Callithrix jacchus: one gene and its partners. The main gene of each other region encodes a partner of the protein of the gene in region 3 in a complex. Links are inferred from orthologs where the notes say so. Each region holds a gene or a part of one and is shown on either strand. Other genes may lie near its edges.

Region 1 (5,883 bases), on a different chromosome or scaffold from region 3:
TGTGATTCAACCACCTCCCAAAGTGCTGGGATTACAGACGTAATCCACCGCACCCGGCCCCTTCTAACCCTTTCGAAAGGTTTCTTCATTTAGCACCCTGGAACCAAGTGGAAGTGAGTATTTCTGAGGAGACATGACATCTTCCTTCTCTACCCAAAAGAGACTAAATCATGGGCCCCAGCCAAAAATGTTGTGTTATCTGCTGCAGTTAAAAGAGATCAAAGACTGAGAAGTCTCTTTGCTCAAAGTTTCTTTAGCCACTTGAGCGAGGCTTCCCAGAGCAGGAAACTCCCTTAGGAGAGGGACTGTTGGAATTAAATGAGCTGGGGAACCACAGCCTAGTAACTGAACTTCAGCTTTGTAAACTCGGAAACTCATCATCACTGTGATGGTTAATTTGATATGTCAACTTGAGTGGACCATACGGTGCCCAGATTAAAAGTTGTTCTAGGTGTGTCCATGAGGATGTTTCTAGATGAGAATAGCATTTGAATTGGTAGACTCACCAAAGTAGATTGCCCTACCCAGTGTAGTTGGGCATTGAAAAGGCAGAGGAAAGAATCTGCCCCTCTTTTCCTGCCTCACTGGTGAGCTGAGATATCTCATTTCACTGCCTTCTGCCCTCAAACTGGGATTTACATTGTCAGCTCCCCTGGTTCTCAGGCCTTTGGACTTGGACCGAACTGCATCACTGACTTTCCTCCATCTCAGCTTGCAGACACAGCTTATTGGACTTCTCAACCTCCATAATCATGTGAGCCAACTACTCATCATAAATAAACATATACTTATTAATTCTATATATTATATATAGAGAGAAACAGAACCAAAAGGAGATATATATATATATATATATATATCCTATTGCACACAATAGGATATGTATATACATATATGCTCTTGGTTCTGTTTCTCTGGAACACCCTGACTATTTTTGGTGATTTAGTCAAAATAACTTAACTCACAAGAGGCAGATACATAAGCCAGTATTAACTACCAAATGGAGAAGAATAGTTATAAACACAGGCTGGGGTATTCTCTACTATTTTGAAATCTATTCAGAAGCCAATTAAGAAGAAGATTGTCTAATAAATTCAGAACAAGAATAAAGGGAGGTAGCTAGAGCAAAGGGATATTTTATCTAGGTCCTGGTGAGATCAGAAAGAATATCTTTGCCCCATGAGTGTGCAAATCTCTAGTTACTGAAATATTTATACCCACCAGGTCTGCAGTGCTGACTAAACATCAGATTCTTGCCCTCTGAATGCCTCCATTTCCCCTCTCCCACAATCTCTCTTCAGCCTGTACGATTAAATAGAGTTAACTATTCTTAATTACAGTCACACTCCAAACAGGTCTTCTCCAACTTACACACCCAAATCAGATGAGTAGTATGAACCATTCTCACACGAAAGACACATTTATTTAGTTCCATGGAGGGGTCAATTCATCTGCTTACTTCATTTCCAAGCTTTTGGAGAGAACCTCACTCCCCTTTGCAGTCTTCCATTATTTATGATATCGACTTATCCATAAAATAAATATATACAAATTTTAAAGTCATTTACAAACACACAGAATGGAGAAGAGCACCTTTAACAGCCATCACATGATTGGGATTTTGTTGACGGTAAACTAAAAGCCCCATGGGTCCCCGCTTTGTTTTTTCCCATTTTCTTGACAGGGTCTCACTCTATCACTAGAGTACAGTGGCGTGATCACAGTTCCTTGCATGCTAGACCTCCTGGGCTCAAGCAATCTTCCCCCCTCAGTCTCCCGAATAGCCAGGGCTGCAGGCACGTGCCACCACCCCCGGCCAGGTCCCCATAAGTCCCCTCTTCTCTGAGCCAAACATCTTCACACCTTCTGGTGATCATTGGTGGAGGGGCCTGTAAGAGGTTCTGGCGTCAATGTGCCTGAATCGAGGGCTCCAAATTGGTCATGGCTCTCCAGATGGTCCAAATAGTTCTATTTCACAAACATTTATTAAGCATCTACTACATTCTAGGCACCGTGGTTATTATAAATCACTAAGACATTGTCTGCCCTAAAGGAGCTACGTGTATTTGGTAACGGCTTCACAATACATGACGAATAAGGTAGCATTAATTTACATTTGACGGCAAAAGTACCAAAAAAGAAAAAAAAAAAGAAAGGAAAGGAAAGGAGAGAAAGAAAAATAAAGGAAAGCAAGCAAGCAAAAGAAAGAAAAGAAATAAAGAAAAAGAAGCGTATTTAGGAAGCATCGGGTTGATCTCGGGCCACGGAACCTCTGGTAACTGGGTAGTGACTCTGTCATTGGTAGCTCTCCGCCCACACAGCCCGGACCCAGGGCCTTCGAGGACGTGGGCGGGGCCAGTCTCGCCACGCCACGGCCAATAGCCCAATCACACGCTAGCCACAGGAATTCCGGCTCCCATTGGCTGCAGGGGAAAACGGTGACCCAATCCTCATACACCTTAACGCTATCCTCTCGTGATCACTTCCGCCTCTGGAGTCAGGCTCCGCCCAGCTGGCCCGGCATCACTCGCGGCGCCGGAGTCAAGATGGAGGAGTACGCGCGAGAGCCTTGGTGAGCCTCACCGCTGTCTTTGCATTTCTCTTGCTCCCGCCCCGCTCACTGCTTTCCTTCTCCCCTGTCCAGGCTTCCAAGTTGCAAGCCAGACTCAACCGCAGCATCGTCGATTTGGGCCTGGTAATGCTGGGCAGTGCGGTCTTTCGCCGCCAGTCTTTTTCTTAGCCCTGTACCCACTATCTCCCTGGCCGCTTGAGCCTCGCTCTCCCAACCCAGCACCCCTGTGACTTTGGGGTGGATGGTGAAGAGGTCCAGACTTGAGTTTGATAGAACCTCGGAACCTTCTCCCAACGCAGGGCGTAGTCTATCTTGTGCGGTTAAAATCCCCTCTGTTCCCGGAGGTGACCTTGGGCGCGTCCCTCCGCCTCGCTTGCTCACTTCCTGCGTTGAGGAACAGAAGATAGGCGTTTGAGGGGGTTCCATTCTTGAGGTTTTACTTGTATCATGATGTGAATCCGCAGAGTGAAGCATTTTAAATGAATGGAACATAAATTTTAGCCAAGGGGTTTGGATAAGCTCCTTTAGGCCGTTGGGCTTTGTTTTCCTCCTTGGAATTCTTTATGGGGGTGGGTGGGGGGGCAAAAATTACCTGGGAAATAGGAAGAGGTAATACCATGTGTTCTCTGAAAATCCATGGACAGAAATTCATTCTTTCATTCAGCGTTTATTGAGCATGAATAAACCACATGCATAAATAATTATAAAAGAATGTAATTGCTGTCAGAAGTCTCAGGTTGCCAGAGTTTAAAGTTTCTGGGGTCATAAGTAAAAAATCAGATCTTGATATTTTGGTTAATCATTTGTTTTATTGTGTAAGAGCAAGAACCAAGATGTCCTCAATTTGTGAAAATGCCCAGGACCTTGAATTTTTACTCTGCTATCCTAGCCCTGTTGCCTGTTTTGTGTTTCCCTCTTTCCCAAATGGCATACAAAATACAAGTTTTAGGGTCTCCTGGCTCTTCAGACTTACCTTCTTCAAAGCGCTTATCCCCATTCTGGATTGTGCTCAGATATGTAGGACTCAGCATACTGTAAATAGCTGTTTGATGTACTGTAATGACACAGGTTAGCAGAGGGTTAAAATATTTAACTGTGTTGAGTTAAAGATCTTAGAAAAATAATGGGTTTTCATTTACTAAATTACTAGGTAGCCCCTTTGCTTTCACTTAGTACACATGTCCTGAAACAATATATATAATCAGTTACCTGGTTAGCTTTGTAGTCAAATCTGCTTTGATTTTCTGACTGGCCTGTTTGATTACAGCATTTCCTGAAGTTATTTTATAGGCCAAATATTTATTGATTGCAGCAGGTCCTGCAGTATAATCTGTTCCATTCCCTTACTGCATTAGCAAAGAAGGTTTTATGATTTGTGAATGAGAAATATGGTCATCTTTTTTTTTTTGCCCCGTTCTTAGCCCATGGCGAATTGTAGATGACTGTGGTGGGGCCTTTACGATGGGTACCATTGGTGGAGGCATCTTTCAAGCAATCAAAGGTTTTCGCAATTCTCCAGTGGTAAGTGAGTGAATGGTCTTATTTTATCACCATTTGAAACTTGGGTTTGATGGTATTACTGGTGGGCCCATCAGTGGCTTAGAAATGTACTTCTAATATGGTTTTGGTTGCTTCCTTTGTTTTGTTATAGGGAGTAAACCACAGACTACGAGGAAGTTTGACAGCTATTAAAACCAGGGCTCCGCAGTTAGGAGGTGAGCAGAATTTTCCTTTTTACTGAACTATTTTTTCCTGTTTATTTGAAGATGGAGCTATTTTTTATTTTTAGATTACAACAATTAATGATTTTAGTTTGGTCTAACAGTTTGTCACAAACATATATCCCCATAGTTCTTTCTTGAAAAGTTAACCTGAATTTTATGATACCCATTTGAAAATCTTGTCTCTGTCCTTTAGATACTGAGTGATTTTTTTTTTTTCTTTCTCCAGAAGAAAGACAGCGTGTTTAAAGCTCAGGTTTGAGGCCAGGTGAGGTGGCTCATGCCTGTAATCCCAGCACTTTGGGAGGCTGAGGTGGGCGGATCACCTGAGGTTAGGAGTTAGAGACCAGCCTGACCAACATGGAGAAGCCCAGTCTCTACTAAAAATACAAAATTAGCTGGGTGTGGTGGCTCATGCCTGTAATCCCAGCTACCTGGGAGGCTGAGGCAGGAGAATCACTTGAACCTAGGAGGTGGAGGTTGCAGTGAGCCAAGATTGCACCATTGCACTCCAGCCTGGATAATGAGTGAAACTCCGTCTCAAAAAAAAAAGCTCAGGTTTGTGAGTCAGAAATGATGGCTTCTGAGGTAACATAAAGCTGAAAAGAATATGAGCTGAAGGATTGGGGTTTCATGCAGGAGAAACTGATCAAGCTGATTGGGCTCTTCTCTAATGTGAGCTTTTGGACACTGCAGAAGTCATCGCAAAATTTGAAAAGATTCTATTTCTTGTACTTTGTAAACTTAGTTATTCAGAAGCTGGGAAAAGGGAGGTGATGAAAAAATGTTTGTAGGTTATATTCCCTTACAAAGGTATAGTCAGGGCTGGGTGCGATGCTTCACACCTGTAATCCCAGCACTTCGGGAGTCTGAATTGGGCAGATAGCTTGAGCTCAGGAGTTCAAGACCAACCTGGGGAACACGGCTGCCCATATCCCTAGAAAAATGCAAAAATTAGCCAGGCGTTGGGGCATGTGCCTGTGGTCTCAGCTACTAGGGAAGCTGATGTGGATGTATCACTTAGCCCAAAGGTTGAGGCTGCAGTGAGATTGCGCCACTGCACTCCATCCGGGGTGACAGAGTGAGACCCTGTCTCAAACAACAACAAAAACAAACAACACAAGGATATAGTTAGATTGGAGAGACTGGATATGAGGCATGAGAAAGACTTAATATTTCAGTCATTCCTTAGAAGTTTTGGGCATCAAAATAATCTCTTTGTTTTTCTTGAGAAGTTAGTAGCCAATATCTACCATTTATTGAGTGCTTAGCATTTGCCAAGCACTCTGCTAAGCGTTTTACAGCATTATTTTATTTAATTCTCACAATAATGAAGAAATTAGTACTATTATTATCTCCCATTTTCCAGACGAGGACATTTAGGCCCTGAGGGTTGAGGTAATGTATCTTTTTCAATTTTTCTCTCTGTAATCATTACCTACCCTGGCAAGTAATTATAACTAGTTTTTCTTTGTTTTAGTATTGGTGTTGTTCAAGAATGATAAGTGGTATTAAAGTCCGCACCAAACCCTGAACCGCTAGTATATGCAAAAGCCATATAGGTTTTTGCTTGTTTTTTTTTTTTTTTTT
Region 2 (5,762 bases), on a different chromosome or scaffold from region 3:
TCCCTTTGTATGCTTAAACACGGACTGTTGGGTAATTATAAGGCAAAATATGCACGACTTTCCACATTTAGAAATCGAAGAGCCTTACGAGCACAAAGGTAGTCCTCAAGAACGTAAACCATTCTTAGCATTATCCCTCCATCTGGTAAACTAACTGCAGTGGTGGGTACATAGGTAGGGAACAGCTCGCGATACAAGGACAGGGATTTCATCAGGTACCAATATGCATGCTGATACTTCTGAAGCACTGGAACGTTTTACTTCTTCACGCTGAAGATGCTTCTGGAAAGCAGAGGCAGCCTCCTGCTCCTTTCCTATTTAAGTCCTCAAAATTGCCTTCTCTCTCACTATGGGAGAGGACCATGCTTCACTTCCAGGGAACCCCAAGAAAAACGGAGAGAGGAGCCTCTAGGGAGCAGAACGAGAACACCACAGGCTCCTGCATTTAGACCGAAGACAGGCAGAATGGGACTGGGAGCTGAGCAAGACCTGGCTCTGACGTCGGAGGTGCAGAAAGTGCTGTCCCCCGACTCCCCAAACCAAACTGCCTGCCAGAGGTATCTGCTTGGGGGACGGGGGTGTACACTGGAAAGGTTTTCCTGAGCAGATTCTACTTCCCTACGTTGCACGGTCGTGAGAAAGACGAAGGGAGATTCTTGGTTACAGAAGAGCGAAAATACGAAGGCTGGGGTGGAGCACCGGGAATGTAGGGCAGGAGCCTGGAGAAGCGACTCTTGGCACCTGCACCTGTCCTGACAGGTGAGCGCATCCCCGCGCAGGCGCCGGGAGAAAACAACATTTCCCTGAGAGGCTACTCTACCCCTGTCATAAATCAGGGTGCCCCACGCTGCAGGGTACAAAGGATTTCCTCTGGTCGTTCTTCCAGACCCTTCTCTCGTTGAAGAGAGCCTCGGGCCTTGTGCCCGAGCCTGACGAAGAAAATACAGTGAAAAGAACAGGGCGCGCAGTGAGGGGCTTCCCGCCGGCCCTAGTCACCTGAACCCAAAGACCCTGGAGCGCCCCGGGGCCACGCCAGCGCCCGCGCTGGGCTCGCGCAGCGTCTGGAGGCCCAGCCAGCGATGTCGCAAGATCCGACCGCGTCCAGTCGCCATGGAGACCAGGCGTTCACCACAGGACTGCGCGAGGGCAGAAACGAGGAACGCTTGTTCCAAGATATTCCCCTAGTCGCCACACCCCTAGGCGCATGCGCACGTGGGGAAAAGTTCCGCTGGCCTGGCGCGTGCGCAGACAGCACCGCGCCAGACTCGGCTCAAAGAGCGGGCTTCTAGAAACTTCCGGGCTTGGCTTCTTTACCCACCCCTAACATTCTGCCATCAGGGGCGCCGAGCAAGTCCGCGGCTTATCGTTTAGGAAACCGGAGCCTGATTTGCAGTGGCGTCCCTTCATCTCCACTTGCTGGCTCTTTACTGTCCGGTTTTTCTGATAACAGTGAAACGCAAACACTAAATCATTTGCGCACACAGAATGGCAAGGCCACAGTCAAAGGGAGTATTTCCCATTATGTGGAGTTCTCTCTAGACGGATGAGAAGAACACGTAATTTGCAACTAACTTGGCTTTTGCAAGTACCGCTTGAACCCCTCAGGGTCTAAAATACCAATTGCGCCACAAACGCCCCACTTTCCCGCCGCTCCAACGACGTACAGTATCTGCGCAGGCGCCAGGCGCGGGGGGTGTCTGAGGTCCTGCGCCGTGCTGCGGCAGCCTTGAATTGTGGGAGATGTAGTCTCTTTTGCGCGCCCCAATGTCGCATCCTAGTTAAGAGCAAGGTCTTTAAACTACTATTCCCAGAAAGACGGGGGAATTTTCCAGGTGACTTTGCGAAGGCATGGCAGGGACCCTGTGAATGTCAACCCAGAAGGTAATCAGAGCATTTTAATTCAAATAGAATGAAGACAGAAGGGAAGGTGGACATCAGGTTCTCTGTGGAGACTTTTCGTTTTCATTTACGCTGCTGAAGCTAAGGTTTTTGCCTAACACCCCATGTATGTAAAGGTACAGGCTTGAGTAGGACTCCGGCCGGATGTGAGGTGAACCCTAAAGCTTTCTAATTGTAGTTAGCATCGTCCCTAAGCGGAGCGATTTTTGTGAACATGATTTGTACTTTTCTACGAGCCATACAATATACGGAGAAGCTGCACAGGTCCCCGGCAAAGCGATTACTTTTGCCACACCTTGTGCTTAACAAAGCGTGCTTGAAGACTGAGCCCAGTTTGAGATGGGGGCTTCAATATCAAAAGAAAACAGTGCGACCTAGATGTGTTCTTGGAGTCACCCAGAAAGCCCTCTGGACTCAGGGGCCGAGCTCCCGAAAAGCAAAGGAGGATAGTAGCAAACAAGTGTCGGTGCACAGGAGTCAGAGAGAGGGAACCGCCGTCTCAACAGCACAAAAAGGTAAAAAAATAATAATAATAATGATTGGTCTCTCAAGACAAGAGCTCCCAATACCCTTTTACACCAAGTTCACTGCCAAAGGTGAAAAAGCAATTCACATGAGTTTTTAAAAATCGTTTATAATTTAGAACTAGAACATACAGACCTACAGTTTTCTTTACAGATTGAAACTCAGATTTGAAAGGTGGTCTTTAATATAACTTTTTTGCATTATGTGTGGGAAATTTTTGTCAAGTTTTATTAGCTCTGTTACATATAATAAAGAGTAACTTGATAGTATAAAAAGAGAGATTATTGACGCATAACCAGTAGGGAAAACTTTCAGATGTTACCTGCAATAATAGAAAAACATATAGGGAGGATGGAATGTGATTTGTCAGGGAAAGTCAGAGATATGTTCACAGGTATTTTAAGGTGTGTTTTTTTTTTTTTAATTTTTTCATTTCACGTGTAATTTGTAGGAAAAAAAATAAGAAACAAAGCAATTTATACACCCATGGTTATACCACACAAAGATGACTTTTTTTTAACATTTTGCACTTTCATACACATACTTTTTAATAATTTTAACCCAAAAAATTGAATCATAGTCTACCAATTGTTTTGTAATCTGCTGCATATGCCAAAAATATAATCTAGTTTTTCATTCATAATAGTTCAGCACAAAGGAACAACCCATATGCAGAGGTGAAAGGCATAGAAACGGGCAGGTGTGTCAGGTCATCTGGCTCCGGCAGCAGTGCTGCTGCTTGCACTGCCCACTAGGCCTCCTTAGAGAGCCCTACTGCACCCCGTTCAGAGATGACAGTTCTCGTTACTGAGTAAGTGGATGGAAGCAACATTCCCAAATGTGAAATATGCTGCGTCCAGAATTCAAAGAGGCCTATGAAGCATTGTGTTAGGAGGTATAGGGTGCAACAATTGTCTTTTACTTGCGAAGGCATGTCCTGGCACTCCCCCAGGTAGCCCCACGAGGCCCACTCATGTGTTGGTGAGCCTCTGGATCTTTGTTGGGCCCACCTCTCACACTTGCAACTTGTCTGACTGAGCCTTCTGACACACTTGCCACTTGTTACTTATGGGCTCAAACATGACGGCATAAACATAGTAGACAAATGTGATATTCTGTTCAATGTCCAGAACAGGATTATTCGAATAAAACTTTCTACAGTCATAGAAATGTCCTATATCTGTGCTGTACATTTGGTTAGTTCCTGGCCACTTGTAGCTATTTTGAGCACTTGAAATGTTGTTAAATTATGTGACTGAAAAACTGAATTAATTTAATTTTAATTAATTTAAAATCGAACTGAAATAGCCAGTAGTGGCTACTGTGTTACACAGCCCAGGTCTAGAAGGTGTCAGTCCCTTAAGACTATTATGACAGAGGGTGAGAGAATTAGCAGATCCTGGGCAGGATTATAATAACAGGATAATCCTATTATTATCTGTTTCATGTTACTACAGAGTACTCCTGCTGCTGCTTCTCAGTAGAGACAGGGAAGAAGGCATTCTTCAAATCAATGGCCAATACCATGAGACTGTGTTAATGCACTCCTCTGTAAAGTTACCATATGTGGGATTGCATGTGTACCCTGGCTACTACTTGGTTGAATTTGCAGTGAACCACTGTCATCTCCAGCCCCTATTTGTTTTTTTGTAACGGAAGACTGGTAAATTGCAAGGGACTTTACCACCAGTGGGGACCACCATGCCTGCATTAAGGTCTCTTAATGCAGAATAGCACTCTCTCTGCCATTCCCCATAGATGTGATACTGTTTTTAATTTATTATCTTGGTCACTGGGGCAGTTTTAGAAGCTTCCATTTGACTTTTCCCACGGTGATAGCTCTTAACCCACCTCCAAAAGAACTAAAGTAGGAGTTACTGTTGCCAATTACTCAGTACATCCTCTTGATTTCTACTTTTGGAAATCACAGAAATGATTACCAGGTAAGTCCATGCACCCAGCTATCAGCTTCTTACATGCTGAGGCGGGTCGGAGTGGATCCTTGGACATCACTGTCAGCACAGGTTATGTCCAAGTTGATAACTATAGGTCCTTTTGGTGAAGAACTGGGGGAGTCAGTCACACACACTTTCCTTCTGTAAATGGGCTCCAGGTCTGAAAACTTGCTCAGGTCCAGACTTGCCCTTGGGAACACTGTGTTCTAGTCATCAACTCTTGCTCTGTGCGGGTCAGACACTCCCGACTTGCCATCAGTTATGGTTGCACCCATCTTGGCTTCTGTCTAATACCCCAACCTGGTCTCTGTTTCAGAGTTCTTTTGCTGTCAGGGCATCCTGCTCTGTAAAGATGTAACTGGCTTCCTTGTGGCTTTGGTATTCAGTGTCCTCCAGTTCCTCCTAAGAATATAGTCAGCTGGTGGGTTTTCAGGCTTTATATCTTATGTCTATGGTAGCATCCCCATTCTTCGAGGCTGTTGAGCCTTTCCTCCAGTTTGCCATGGCTGTTCTGTCACTTTTACTTATTATGGACCATCACTGTCTCAAAGTTTACGGGAGCAAACCTAGCCAGCTGCATATCAGTTCCCAGGGTGCTTGCCCGGTTGCTAAATTCATCACAGGAGTGTGCCCCATGCTGATCAATTCTCACGTAGCTGGGTTTGTGTTCTGTGCCCTTGACACACCCCCTTTAAGAGGCAGTGATATGTTATGTATGTTCCCCTGGCTCCCGCTGGTGGGGCCTCCAGCTCCTTCTGTGTATCATTCCTTCTCACCCTTCTCATGCCCAGTTGTGTTCTAATTTGGCCAGGACGGGAGGTGGAGAGACCTCTTGAGGGCAGCATGTGTCTTCCTAGGCAGAAGCCACCCACCCACCCCTTGCCAAGTTTCCAAGATGGAAGAAATGCCAACCTTTACCAGACAATGAGCTGCTTAGAGCATTGACCTCAAGGGCCCCCACTGCAGCTTTAGGTTCCCTTTCCTCCCAAATCAGGACCCTGACCTAGGTGTGGGAGGTCTTATGGGCTTGAAATGCCAAACTCCCTGCTGCCCTAATGCCACAGACCTGACCCCTGCGTTTTCTGCCCTCTGGGTGCAGTTTGAGTCTTGTTCTGCTGGGGAGGAGGCCCCCTGCCCTTGGCAGTCACTGTTATTGGTGATTAGTTATACGTATCATCTCATCCTCCCTCTCCAGAGTATCCATGGCCCCAGCCACAGCCCTCTAAGTCCTTAAAATTGCTGATTCCTCCTAAATTCCCAAAAAAACAGACCAGCCAGTGCATTCCCTTCCGCCAGTATTCCATCCCAAGTCCCCATCGGTAACAGCTGCCTCAGCTGCACTATAGCTGTAAGACAGGCGTTGTCAGTGCCCCCCTACCACCA
Region 3 (6,001 bases):
TTGTACTGTCTTTCAATAAAAAGCTGTTTGGTCTAAAAGTCTTGGGGGGAGTGTGTGTTGTGTGTGCTGTGGGAATGGGGTGTCTTCATTTTAAGTGGGGTCATTTGCACACTCCACTTCCTTGCTTTGTGGTTGGGCAAATAACTGGGCCTTACCTAAATCTGTTTTCCCATCTAGGTAATAGTGATAGTGCCTGCCCCAGAGGGCGTTTGAGGGGAATGTGTGTGAGAAGACATCCGAAGGAGATCAGAGCAGAGCTTATCGTGATTGCTGACATATCTTATTCAGACATGAATTATGCTGAGTGAAAATCACAGTGTCTTCCAGGAAACCTACATTCCTCCTGCAGTGCAGGATACAGTGCTTGATGGTCCTTTTTCTTTCTTCTGTTTTTTTTTTTTTTTTTTTTTTGAGATGGAGTCTTTTTTCTTTTTTTTTAATTGAGTCCCAATTGAGACTGCCAAAAACTGCCAATGCTGATTATATTTTAAGTCATCATGGTGAGGTATTGGGAAAAGTTTTCAATGAGCAATAATCGTGCCTCAGATAAACCTCATTGGCTACAATACTGCCACTGCGCAAAGTTGAGATGGAGTCTTGCTGTGTCACCAGGCCTGAGTGTGGTGGCACAATCTTGACTCACTGCAACCTCTGCCTCCCGGGTTCAAGCGATTCTCCTGCCTCAGCCTCCTGAGTGGCTGGAATTATAGGTGCATGCCACCACACCCAGCTAATTTTTTTGTATTTTTGGTAGAGACAGGGTTTCACTATGTTGGTCAGGATGGTCTCAATCTTTTGACCTTGTGATCTGCCCACCTCAGCCTTCCAAAGTGCTGGGATTACAGGCGTGAGCCACTACATCCAGCTGATGGTCCTTCTTTTCTGTTTGAGATGGGGTCTCGCTCTGTTGCCCAGGCAACCTGAACCTCCTGGGCTCAAGCAATCCTCTTGCCTCAGCCTCCCAAGTAGCTGGGACTACAGGCATGCTTCACCACACCTGGATAACTTTTTAATTTTTATATTTTTTATAGAGATGTGTCTCACTGTATTGCTTAGGCTGGTCTTGAACTCCTGGCTTCAAGTGATACTCCTGCCTTGGCCTCCCAAAGTGCTGCAATTACACGTGTGAGCTACAGTGCTCAGCGGTCCATTCTCTTGAGCCCTGACAGCAGTGACAGCAGGATTGCTGTAGCTTTTCCAATGACGTGGGGCAGGAGTGGGTGCAATCTTAAAGAGACTGGAGCTTAGTACCCAGAACCTGCTTCCCTTCCTCATTAGATATTCCTGTCTTTTTACAAATGTAAATGTATTATAAAACATTTCATCAATAAGATGAAACCCCGTCTCTACTAAAAATACAAAAATTAGCCGGGCATGGTGGCGTGCGCCTGTAGTCCCAGCTACTCGGGAGGCTGAGGCAGGAGAATTGCTTGAACCCAGGAGGCGGAGGTTGCGGTGAGCCGAGATCGAGCCATTGCACTCCAGCCTGGGTAACAAGAGCGAAACTCCGTCTCAAAAAAAGAAAAAACAAAACATTTAAGGCCGAGCGTGATGGCTCACACCTGTAATCTCAGCAGTTTGAGAGGCCGAGGTGGGGCAGATTATTTGAGTTGAGTTTGAGACTATACTGACCAACAGGGTGATACCCTGTCTCTACTAAAAATACAAAAAAATTGGCCGGGTATGGTGGCAGGCTCCTGTAGTCCAGCTACTTGGGAGGCCGAGGCAGGAGAATTTTTGTATTTTTTAGTAGAGATGGGGTTTCACCATGTTAGCCAGGCTGGTCTGGAACTCCTGACCTCAGGTGATCCACCCGCTTCGGCCTCCCAAAGTGCTGGGATTACAGGCGTGAGCCCCTGCGCAGCCCCTGCGCCAGCCTTAATTTTAATTTTTATTTATTTTGAGAGAGCCTCCTGTTGCCCAGGCTGGAGTGCAGTGCCGCAATCTAGGCTCCTTGCAACCTCTGCCTCTCCTGCCTCAGCCTCCCCAGTAGGTGGGACTAGAGGGGCGCCCCATAACTCCTGGCTAATTTTTATTTTTTTAGTAGAGACGGGGATTTCGTCATGTTGGCCAGGCTGGTCTTGAACTCCTGACCTCAGATGATCCGCTGCCTTGGCCTCCCAAAGTGCTGGGGTTACAGGTGTGAGCCACCGCGCCTGGCCAGAAGGTTTTGAGGACTGGCTTTTCAGGTCGCTTTCTAAGCCCCAGTTTCCATTTTTGACAATTGGGAGGCGAAGGCCGATGCCCTTACACGTGAGACAAGCGACCTGACTCCTGACTTTTTTTGGGACAAATCAGGCAGCCAATGATTCCCTTCATTATGGCCTCTGCTTTACCTCTAGGCAATCTGACCACTTCCCTTGCTGCATCCTTTGCCTCGGCGGTGGCGCTCCGCACGGCCCAAGTTGGGCGTGGTCCAGATGACTTTGGATCCCAGTTGGTGCCCCCAGGGACATCAAACAGAATCGTTGGGGCAAACGTGCCTGCGGCAATCCGCCCGAAGCCTTTGGTCTATTTCGGGCTTCCGTCCGCCCGCCCCTCCTCTGCGTTCCCATTGGCTGTAGCTCCGGCCCGGGGCGGGAATAAAGGGAGCAAGTGGGTGGGGCCGCGTGGCGTCAGCGCAAGATGGCGACCTCGGTAGCTCTGTTATCGCGCTTGCGGAGCGGGCTCCGGCTAGGCTTGCGGGGACTGTGCACGAGGTTGGCGACGCCGCCCCCCCGGGCTCCGGATCAGGTGAGCGGAACGAGGGTGGCGCTCTGAATGTGGGGTCCCCTCCCTGGAGTTACGGACATATCGCCGCGGCTTGGAGGTTCTGGGACGCCGCACCTCAGGGTGCTGAATAAAACGTCGCTTGGGTTTTGGGCCCCTTCCCAGCCTCCTGGGTGAATAGCACTTGCTCCCCTGGCCTGGAGGCTGGGGGCCCAGGTGTGTCCTCCAGATCCCACCTCCCACCCACGTGGGCGCCGGAGGAGGAGGGGGTTACCTGTTTCCCATCTCAGTGACCACTCAGGTGATTATTTGAGCAGGAGGGGAGTGGGACGCTGGAGTCCCAGCCTGGCCTTGGGAGTTATTTTTACTCCCAAGGTGGTGGTGGTGGTGGTGAGGGTGGTGAGGTAGACGTTTGGATTTCCAATTCGACCTGCCTCCATGTTGTCAGAGACCCAGCCATTCTGACCTCCAAGTCTATCACTTCTGTGTCCTAGTTCCCCAAGCCCCAGACAAGTGATTGCCTCTCGCCGCCTCTGCTCCCATCCCTTACCCTGTACTCTGCTACCTTTTAGCCCCAAGCAGCCAGATGTCATAACTCCCGGTCCTGTCTGCCCCTTCCCGCCCTCCCACCCCTCCCCCTTGTGCCCTGCGTTCCTTCACATCCCAGAGTTTAGGCCTTCCCATCCCTTATTCTCCCTGATCTGCTTTTCCGGGCTCCACACCCTCTAGTCGTGTTGTCTGCAGGATCCTGTGCACCTGGCCTGTTGGCTCTTAAAACTCTTGGCATCCTGGCGCTGGACAGTCTGGTTTTGACCCTCTGAGCAGCCCCACTTCCTGACTGCCCCTCCAGGGACACAGACGTCCAGGCTCTGTGGGTGTCTGCCTCTTGACTCCTGAACTTGATTCTTCTTGGACTGGAATGCTGGAACGATCAGCTCTTCTCTCTTGACCTCCCCTTTCTCAACCGCAGGTCGCTGAGATCGGGAGCCGCGGGGGCACTCAGGCACAGGGGCCACAGCAGCAGCCGGGCTCAGAGGGTCCCAGCTATGCCAAAAAAGTTGCTCTCTGGCTTGCTGGACTGCTTGGAGCTGGTGGGACCGTGAGCGTCGTCTATATCTTTGGTGAGGGACATATCGCTGCCCCCTAGTTTTATTCCTTGCCTCCCTCGTCCGCTGTGGAACCTCTCACTCTTACCCACTCAAACCTCTCCATCTTAATTCCCTGGCTCTCCTCCATAGGGCAGCCAAGTAGGACACCTACCTTTGAAAACCAGGGAATTCTTCTCCCTTCTACCTCTTAAGGTTCTAGTCTTTCTAGTTGGTTCCTGTACCAGGATAGAGGAAAGAGGGGAAGATGGGGAAGGATAGGCGTAGATCAGCTTCCTAAACTTTGTCTTTCCTCAGCACCCAAAAATCCAGCCTTCCCACTAGTTCCTTTATCCCTCAGACTCAAGAGACACAGACCCAGCCCCCTTTCTCTCAAAGACCCAGGAATCTTGGCTCCCAGCCCCCTCCTGGCTTGAATCCAGAAGGCTGTGCCTCTAACTCTCTTCCCTCAGATCCAGGAGTCCAGGCCTCCTATCCCACTCCTCCCTCAGGACCTAGGAGACTGCACCCCAATTCCTCATATTCATCCTGGTTTCCCTTGCAGGAAACAACTCTGTGGACGAAAAAGGTGCCAAGGTGAGGGGAAAAGAGACTGAGGCCTTGCCAGGAGTCCTAGCCTGTGGGTGAGAGGGGTCCCCTTTGGTTTGTTGAGGCTCATTGCTGGTCTGGAGTGAGCCTTTCTTTCCTAAGGACCTTTGCTTATTCCTCTTGGGGTCCTGGAGATTCCTTTTATGGGTGTGATGAGGTTCTGCCTCTGACATCCTAAACCTTCCATTTTTCTCTCTACCTCCCAGATTCCTGATGAATTCGACAATGGTGAGTAAACAAGCACAGATTCTGGAGTCCCCGACCCTCTCAGCTCTGTCATTTGTAAGGATGTGTCTTTCCCCATCTGGTGTCTCTGGCCCCTCCTCCTTCCATTGGGGAGGTTGGGGAGCCAGCAGCTGGATAGCTTTGTGGGGAGGGACTTTACAAAGCCCAAGCCCACTTCCCTGGCCCCTCAGCCCTGAGCAGATGGTCAGGGACAGATGGGGGTGGGGAGCCTTGGGTGGGAGGGCCTGGGGACACAGGGTGGCCTATCTCCAGACACGTGGGTTCCTGTGCCTTAGACTGAGCATCTGCAGCTCCCAACTCTTTACCCAACCCCCCCAAGCCCCTACTCCATTAGTCTCATTTTCAAAACAATGCCTCCTTCCTCCCACCCCATCTGGTTAACCAGCTTTTGGTGCTGAAATTTCTGACAAATTGGATAGTAGAGTAGTTGTCAGTCTTGTCAAATGAAATTGGTGGATCCAGAAAGCCACCTGTTTATGTGGGGACATTTGCAAACAGTCATGTTAATACAGTCTTTCACACTGGGCAGGTGAGTGAGTGCTGGTTTGACTGGGCAGATTAGAATCTTGCTAGCTTCAACAAATCACTATGCTGATTTAACTTGGGCAGGAAAACCTGGAGGTTTAAAGTGTATATGTTTACTAGTCTAACTGCTTTCGATATTGTGGGGTTTTTTTGTTTTTGTTTTTGTTTTTGACAGAGTCTTGCTCTGTCACCCAGGCTGGAGTGCAGTGGCGCAATTTTGGCTCACCGCAACCTCCACCTCCCAGGTTCGTGTTTCTCGTGCCTCAGCCTCCTGAGTAGCAGGGACTACAGGTCCATACCACCACGTCCAGCTAATTTTTTTTTTTTTTGAGACGGAATCTTGCTCTGTCGCCTGGGCTGGAGTGCAATGGCGTGATCTCGGCTCACTGCAACCTCTGCCTCCTGGATTTAAGAGATTCTCCTGCCTCAGCCTCCCGAGTAGCTGGGACTACAGGCACCTGCCACCACGCCCAGCTAATTTTTTGTATTTGTAGTCGAGACAGGGTTCCACCATGTTAGCCAGGATGGTCTTGATCTGACCTCATGATCTGCCCACCTCAGCCTCTCAAAGTGCTGAGATTACAGGTGTGACCCACCACTCCTGGCCAAATATATTGTGTTTTTTTAAGAGATGGGCCCATGTATTACATTAAAAACACTGTATTGAAGTAGGCAGCCATGTATGTTTACTGTTTTATACTGGATTCATTAGCTGGGAGTGGTGGCCTTCAGCCTGTGGCCCCAGCTCCTCAGGAGGCTGAGGTGGGATCACTTGAGCCCAGGAGTTACAGGCTGCAGTGAGCTGTCATCTCACCACTGCACTCTAG
Region 4 (4,841 bases), on a different chromosome or scaffold from region 3:
TCTGCATCCCCACGGACCAGTTTTGTAATGAAGAAAGGGTGTTTCCACCACCTTGCAATGACTTGCAAGAAAGGGACGGTTTTCATGTCTCTTGAGGTCATTCCCAACTAGAGCAGTTTGTGCAGAGGAAACCAGTGACTCCTCAGGAAGTTTTTGCGCCTCCCCGTGGCATCTGCATCCCAGTGAAGGCAGTGTTTGCCCCACCCATGTAGAGGTTTGTGCAGAAGTCAGTTTTGGCGGGAGAACCCATGTCCACTCAAAAAAATGTCCTAGCTCCCTCATCCCAAAATGAAAACTGATTTCTGGTTATTTTGTGGTTACCCTTTAAAAACACTTGACCTGGTCAAACTGGTCTCCTGCACCCCCCCCAACACCTGTAATCCCAACACTTTGGGAGGCTGAGCGGGCAGATCACCTGAGGTCAGGAGTTTGAGACCAGCCTGGCCTACATGGTGAAACCCCATCTCTACTAAAAATGCAAAAACTTAGCTGGGCTTGGTGGTGTACGCCTGTAATCCCAGCTACTTGGGATGCTGAGAAAGGAGAATCACTTGAACCCAGGAGGTGGAAGTTGCAGTGAGCCGAGCTCATGCCACTACTACTACATCCTGGGCAACAGAGAACATCTCAAAACAGCAACAACAAAACAAAGACCAGGCCACCTTGAGGGAGCTAGTCTCCCGGCCCCTCCTTCCATCCCAGATCCACCCTGAGGCCACACAGAGGGAGGGGAATCACCTTTACAAATGCTGTGCTGAGCATCCAGAAAGAAAGGACTCTGGTGAGGCCACATTTCCCAGCCTCGGAGATGGGGGCTTGTGGAGCAGGGGTCAGGGGTACTGGGGTGTGTGTGTGTGGATGGGGTCAGGGGCACAACATCCAGAACCACCCCCACCCCCAGCAATCCTGGTGTTCACTCCCTTCTTTCCCAGGCTTGTTCCTCTGACAGACCCATCACCTGGCCCCAGACAACCTTATTCATGTCCCTAATTCACATCTTCAATCTCCCTTCCTGTTCATTCATCCCATAGACATTTACTAGAGCCCACTTGCTGTGGGTCTCCAAGTCTGGGGCTTCTGAGTCCCTTAAGCAAGCTCTGCTCCTTGTCCTATGGAGGGGCCCCATAGGCAGCTCAAGGAGTCCACACATAGGCATTTCAAAACGGACTTTATTATTTTTTTTTCAAAACGGGCTTTAAATACTTATTGGGGTGCCACACAAAGGAGCTGGGGTGAGAACTTGGTACAGTGAGTGTGGGGCTGGGGTGCCCTGAGAGAGAAAAAGGGGGACCCATCTGTCAGGGCAGCTGGGGTGCCCCATCCCCACCCTGGGACTAGGGAGCAGAGTAGAAGCCCTCTCTGGAGGGTCCCAGGGCTAACTGGGAGCCAGCCCTCCCTTCGAGGTAGATCATCGGGGAGGGAACTGAGAAGCAGCTCCCATGGTGGCAGTGGCTTCCTCAGTGGTACTGCTGATAGCTGGGATAGCCTGGGGGTGGGGTGCCATCCTTAGGGGGCAGCTGGCTGGGGTCCTCCAGGAATGGGGGTGCTGGAGAGGGGAGAATCCGGTAAGGATGAGTGGAAGAGGCCAAGTGGAGCATTTCCCACTCCCCTCACCACCATCTACCAGGTACTCACCATTTCGGAACTGCTGGGCCGTGTAGCGAGTGAGGAGGATGCCAACACCCTCGATGAGGGCCAACAGGATGCCCCCCATCATTGCTGAGCCCATCATGGCCAATGGACCACCTGGGGGAGTTGGGGGCAGAGAAACAGAGGTGAGGGCAGGCAGAACAGGGTGGAAGAGGCTGGGGTCAGGGCCAGGGCCAGGGGGCACTCACTGCGGGCAGCCAGCACAGCCCCGGTCAATGCTCCACTGGTGATAGAGTTCCAGGGATCCTCCTTGCCCCGAAGCCGCACCAGGCCACAGTCGATGGTGGAGAACAGTCCCCCCCACACTGCAAAGCTACCTGTAGTGGGAACAAGGCCTAATTAGTTCCTGGGAAATCCCAAGAATTCACATCTCAGGGGGCTTCCAAGGCCTGAATGCTTCGGCCAAGAACAGGGAAAAAAAACCCAGACACAAAGGCAGATAGCAAATCCCCAGAGAGTATTTCCTATCTGTCCCCATCCTGTGGGGAGCTCCCACTTCAAGTCATCTATAATCACCATCGACATTCCCTTCACCTTTATGGGGAGCTGACAAATGTTTACAAGCAGATATATCTTCATATAGCCTTTAACAGAGCAATTTTGATCTTCATAATCACCACACAGAGTTGGAATTCTGATTTGGGTTTCAGTGAGAAGAAAATAGGTTAGAAAAGCCAGTTAATTGATGTTAAAATTAATCAGTTAAAATGTTTACTGAGGGCTTACTGTGTGCCAGGACCTGTTTGAGGTACTGTGTTGACTTCTGCAATTTTAAATTAGTTAATGTTATTAAAATGTTTAGCATAGCAACAAGCACTTAGTAGTATGTAAATTACATAAACTACAAAACTACTGATAAGGTGGTTACTGTTATCACCACCCCCATAGAACAGGTGAGGTTCAGAGAGGTTAAGCCACTAGCCCAAGGTCACATGGCAGGGAAGAGTCAGGACCTAAATTTAAACTCCAGAACCCACTTTCTTCCCCTCCATATTCAATTGTTAGAAAACAACACAACCCTGGAAAGTCTCTGGCAGGGGCTAGAATCTGAACCCCCAACTTGAAGCCTAGACCTGAAGGATCAACCACTCTCATCTTTGCCAAGACATCTCCTATATCTATATCCCCAAGCCCCTCACCTCCAATCTGGGGGGCTCGGATCCTCACAGCGTTGGCACTACCTCTCAACCGGTGCCGAATTCCCTGGGGAAAGGAAGAAAGGGAGTCAGAGCAGGGCTGAAGCCACTGGCAGATGGGTTTCCAGCTTTTAAAAGAGGGAAGAAGATGGGAGATCTGTTAGAGGTATCAGCCATAGAGATGTGGAGAAGTGGCCAAGAACTAGGGGTGTGGAGAGTGCCCCAAAATGGATGTTCTCAGAGCTGAGTTGACAAGTACTAATTCATTCATATATTTGTTCATTCATTCAGTAAATGATTAACAAGTACCGCCGCTGGGCACAGTGGCTCACGACTGTAATCCCAGCAATTTGGGAGGCTGAGGCAGGCAGATCACGAGGTCAGGAGATTGAGACCATCCTGGCCAACATGGTGAAACCTCGTCTCTAAAAAAAAAAACAAAAAACAAAAAACAAAAAAAACAAGTACCTAACTATATGTGCCATGTGCCAGGCACCATGCCATATACAGGGATACAGCCACGAACAAGGTAGATCTGCTCCCTGCCCTCTCAGAGGTCACATTAACAGTGGGAGACACAGATCCTGAGGCAAGGGTAGATAAACAAGGGAGCTTCAAACAGCAATCTGCACTTTAGCAAAAACACCATGAAGAAATAGGATTGGGGCTGAGGTGTCAGGAAAGGCCTCTTGAAGGGGGGGAATTCATGCTGAGACCTTGATGATGAGAAACTTGGCCAAAGATCCAGGAAGGAGAGTTCCAGGAATCTAGGGGAGGGATGGGGCTACATATGTAAATTGCAGAGAACTTGGCAAATAGATGGCATTAAAGCCACAGCATTTTCAATCTTCTGGGAAGGGAGGTGGTCAGAGTGAGGGAATCTGTGGGGATCGCTCCCGTGTGAGGCCCCTGGGAAACGGGCCTCGCCATACGGTAAGCTTGAGCCCGGACACAGATCCCCGGTTGGGGGAGTCGAGCTGAGGGAAAGCAGGAACTGAGAGAGGGACTATGTTATTCTAAATAGTTAACAGACATTACTTTATGGATATGAGGACTTGGGAGTCAATGTGTCCACTTTCGGCTCCTTATGGTTTATTGCTTGATTGTGTTCATTTTGGACCCTTGTTACCTTCATTGTAAAATATTAACTTAAGTATTTACACTTGGTAACTTACTTACCATAACTTACTGGGTGTAACTGTAACTTACTTCCCATAGCTTACTGGGCATGACTGTAACTTACTTACATTGATCTATTGGGCGTAACCTAATTACTGAAAGTAACCTACTTACTGGGCGTAACCTACTTAATGGGATTAACTTACTTACTGGGCGTAACTTAGTGGGCGTAACTTGCTTACTGTAACTTAAGTACGTTGATCTGGTGTAAACAACTTTGGCTTCAGAAAAGTATATCATGAAATGTATTGCAAAAATAAAATTGCTGCTTGGACATAGCCTAAGCCAGCCCTCCAGACTCCACTTTTCTATTTTCTTTCACTTTCCCGCACTCTCTCCCTCAGGTTGAACGAGACATCTACGTTGGCGGTCTTGGGGACTCCTGCGGGTCGGTAGTCCCCAGGCAGACGTGCCGGACCCCGACATCAGAGAAAAAGAAATACGTTAAAAAAATTATCTCAACTTTAAGGCTGTCTTCCCTCTGGCAATTAATTCCTGTCATTTTCCTCTATCCAGGTTTCTGAGCCAGAATCTGCCTCTAGTACTGCCTGTAATCCCAGCACTCCGGGAGGCTGAGGTGGGTGGATCACTTGAGCTCAGGAGTTAGAGAGCATCCTAAGCAACATCTTGAAACCCCATCTCTAAAAAAAAAAAAATTAGCTGGGTGTGGTGGCACAGTCCAGTGGTCCCAGCTACTTGGGAGGCTGAAGTGGGAGGATCACTTGAGCCTGGGAGATGGAGGTTGTAGTAACTGTGATCGCACCACTATACTCCAGCCTGGGAGAAAGGGCAAGATGCTGTCTCAAATTAAAAAAAAAAAAAAAAAGGCTGGGTGCAGTGGTGTGATCACAGCACTATAATCTCAGCACTTTGGGA

The links.
Region 1: TIMM50 (region 3) and TIMM17A share a complex: the UniProt entries of both Homo sapiens proteins name them as parts of the TIM23 complex. The link is inferred for Callithrix jacchus from reciprocal best matches to the Homo sapiens genes TIMM50 and TIMM17A.
Region 2: TIMM50 (region 3) and TIMM21 share a complex: the UniProt entries of both Homo sapiens proteins name them as parts of the TIM23 complex. The link is inferred for Callithrix jacchus from reciprocal best matches to the Homo sapiens genes TIMM50 and TIMM21.
Region 4: TIMM50 (region 3) and TIMM17B share a complex: the UniProt entries of both Homo sapiens proteins name them as parts of the TIM23 complex. The link is inferred for Callithrix jacchus from reciprocal best matches to the Homo sapiens genes TIMM50 and TIMM17B.

The regions. Positions count from the first base shown.
Region 1 is NC_133520.1:28,979,916-28,985,798, forward strand, and holds the start of TIMM17A (mitochondrial import inner membrane translocase subunit Tim17-A), read left to right. Parts: upstream 1-2,529; 5' UTR 2,530-2,546; coding exon 2,547-2,572; intron 2,573-3,993; coding exon 3,994-4,093; intron 4,094-4,223; coding exon 4,224-4,287; intron 4,288-5,883. UniProt on the Homo sapiens protein: Essential component of the TIM23 complex, a complex that mediates the translocation of transit peptide-containing proteins across the mitochondrial inner membrane.
Region 2 is NC_133514.1:116,566,424-116,572,185, forward strand, and holds the start of TIMM21 (mitochondrial import inner membrane translocase subunit Tim21), read left to right. Parts: upstream 1-1,830; 5' UTR 1,831-2,113; coding exon 2,114-2,414; intron 2,415-5,762. Other genes in the region: FBXO15 (F-box only protein 15), read right to left, coding at 997-1,112. UniProt on the Homo sapiens protein: Participates in the translocation of transit peptide-containing proteins across the mitochondrial inner membrane.
Region 3 is NC_133523.1:34,961,219-34,967,219, forward strand, and holds the start of TIMM50 (mitochondrial import inner membrane translocase subunit TIM50), read left to right. Parts: upstream 1-2,609; 5' UTR 2,610-2,625; coding exon 2,626-2,733; intron 2,734-3,679; coding exon 3,680-3,830; intron 3,831-4,359; coding exon 4,360-4,391; intron 4,392-4,609; coding exon 4,610-4,631; intron 4,632-6,001. UniProt on the Homo sapiens protein: Essential component of the TIM23 complex, a complex that mediates the translocation of transit peptide-containing proteins across the mitochondrial inner membrane. Has some phosphatase activity in vitro; however such activity may not be relevant in vivo.
Region 4 is NC_133524.1:49,452,215-49,457,055, forward strand, and holds the end of TIMM17B (mitochondrial import inner membrane translocase subunit Tim17-B), read right to left. Parts: intron 2,854-4,841; coding exon 2,790-2,853; intron 1,968-2,789; coding exon 1,839-1,967; intron 1,747-1,838; coding exon 1,636-1,746; intron 1,547-1,635; coding exon 1,458-1,546; 3' UTR 1,152-1,457; downstream 1-1,151. UniProt on the Homo sapiens protein: Essential component of the TIM23 complex, a complex that mediates the translocation of transit peptide-containing proteins across the mitochondrial inner membrane.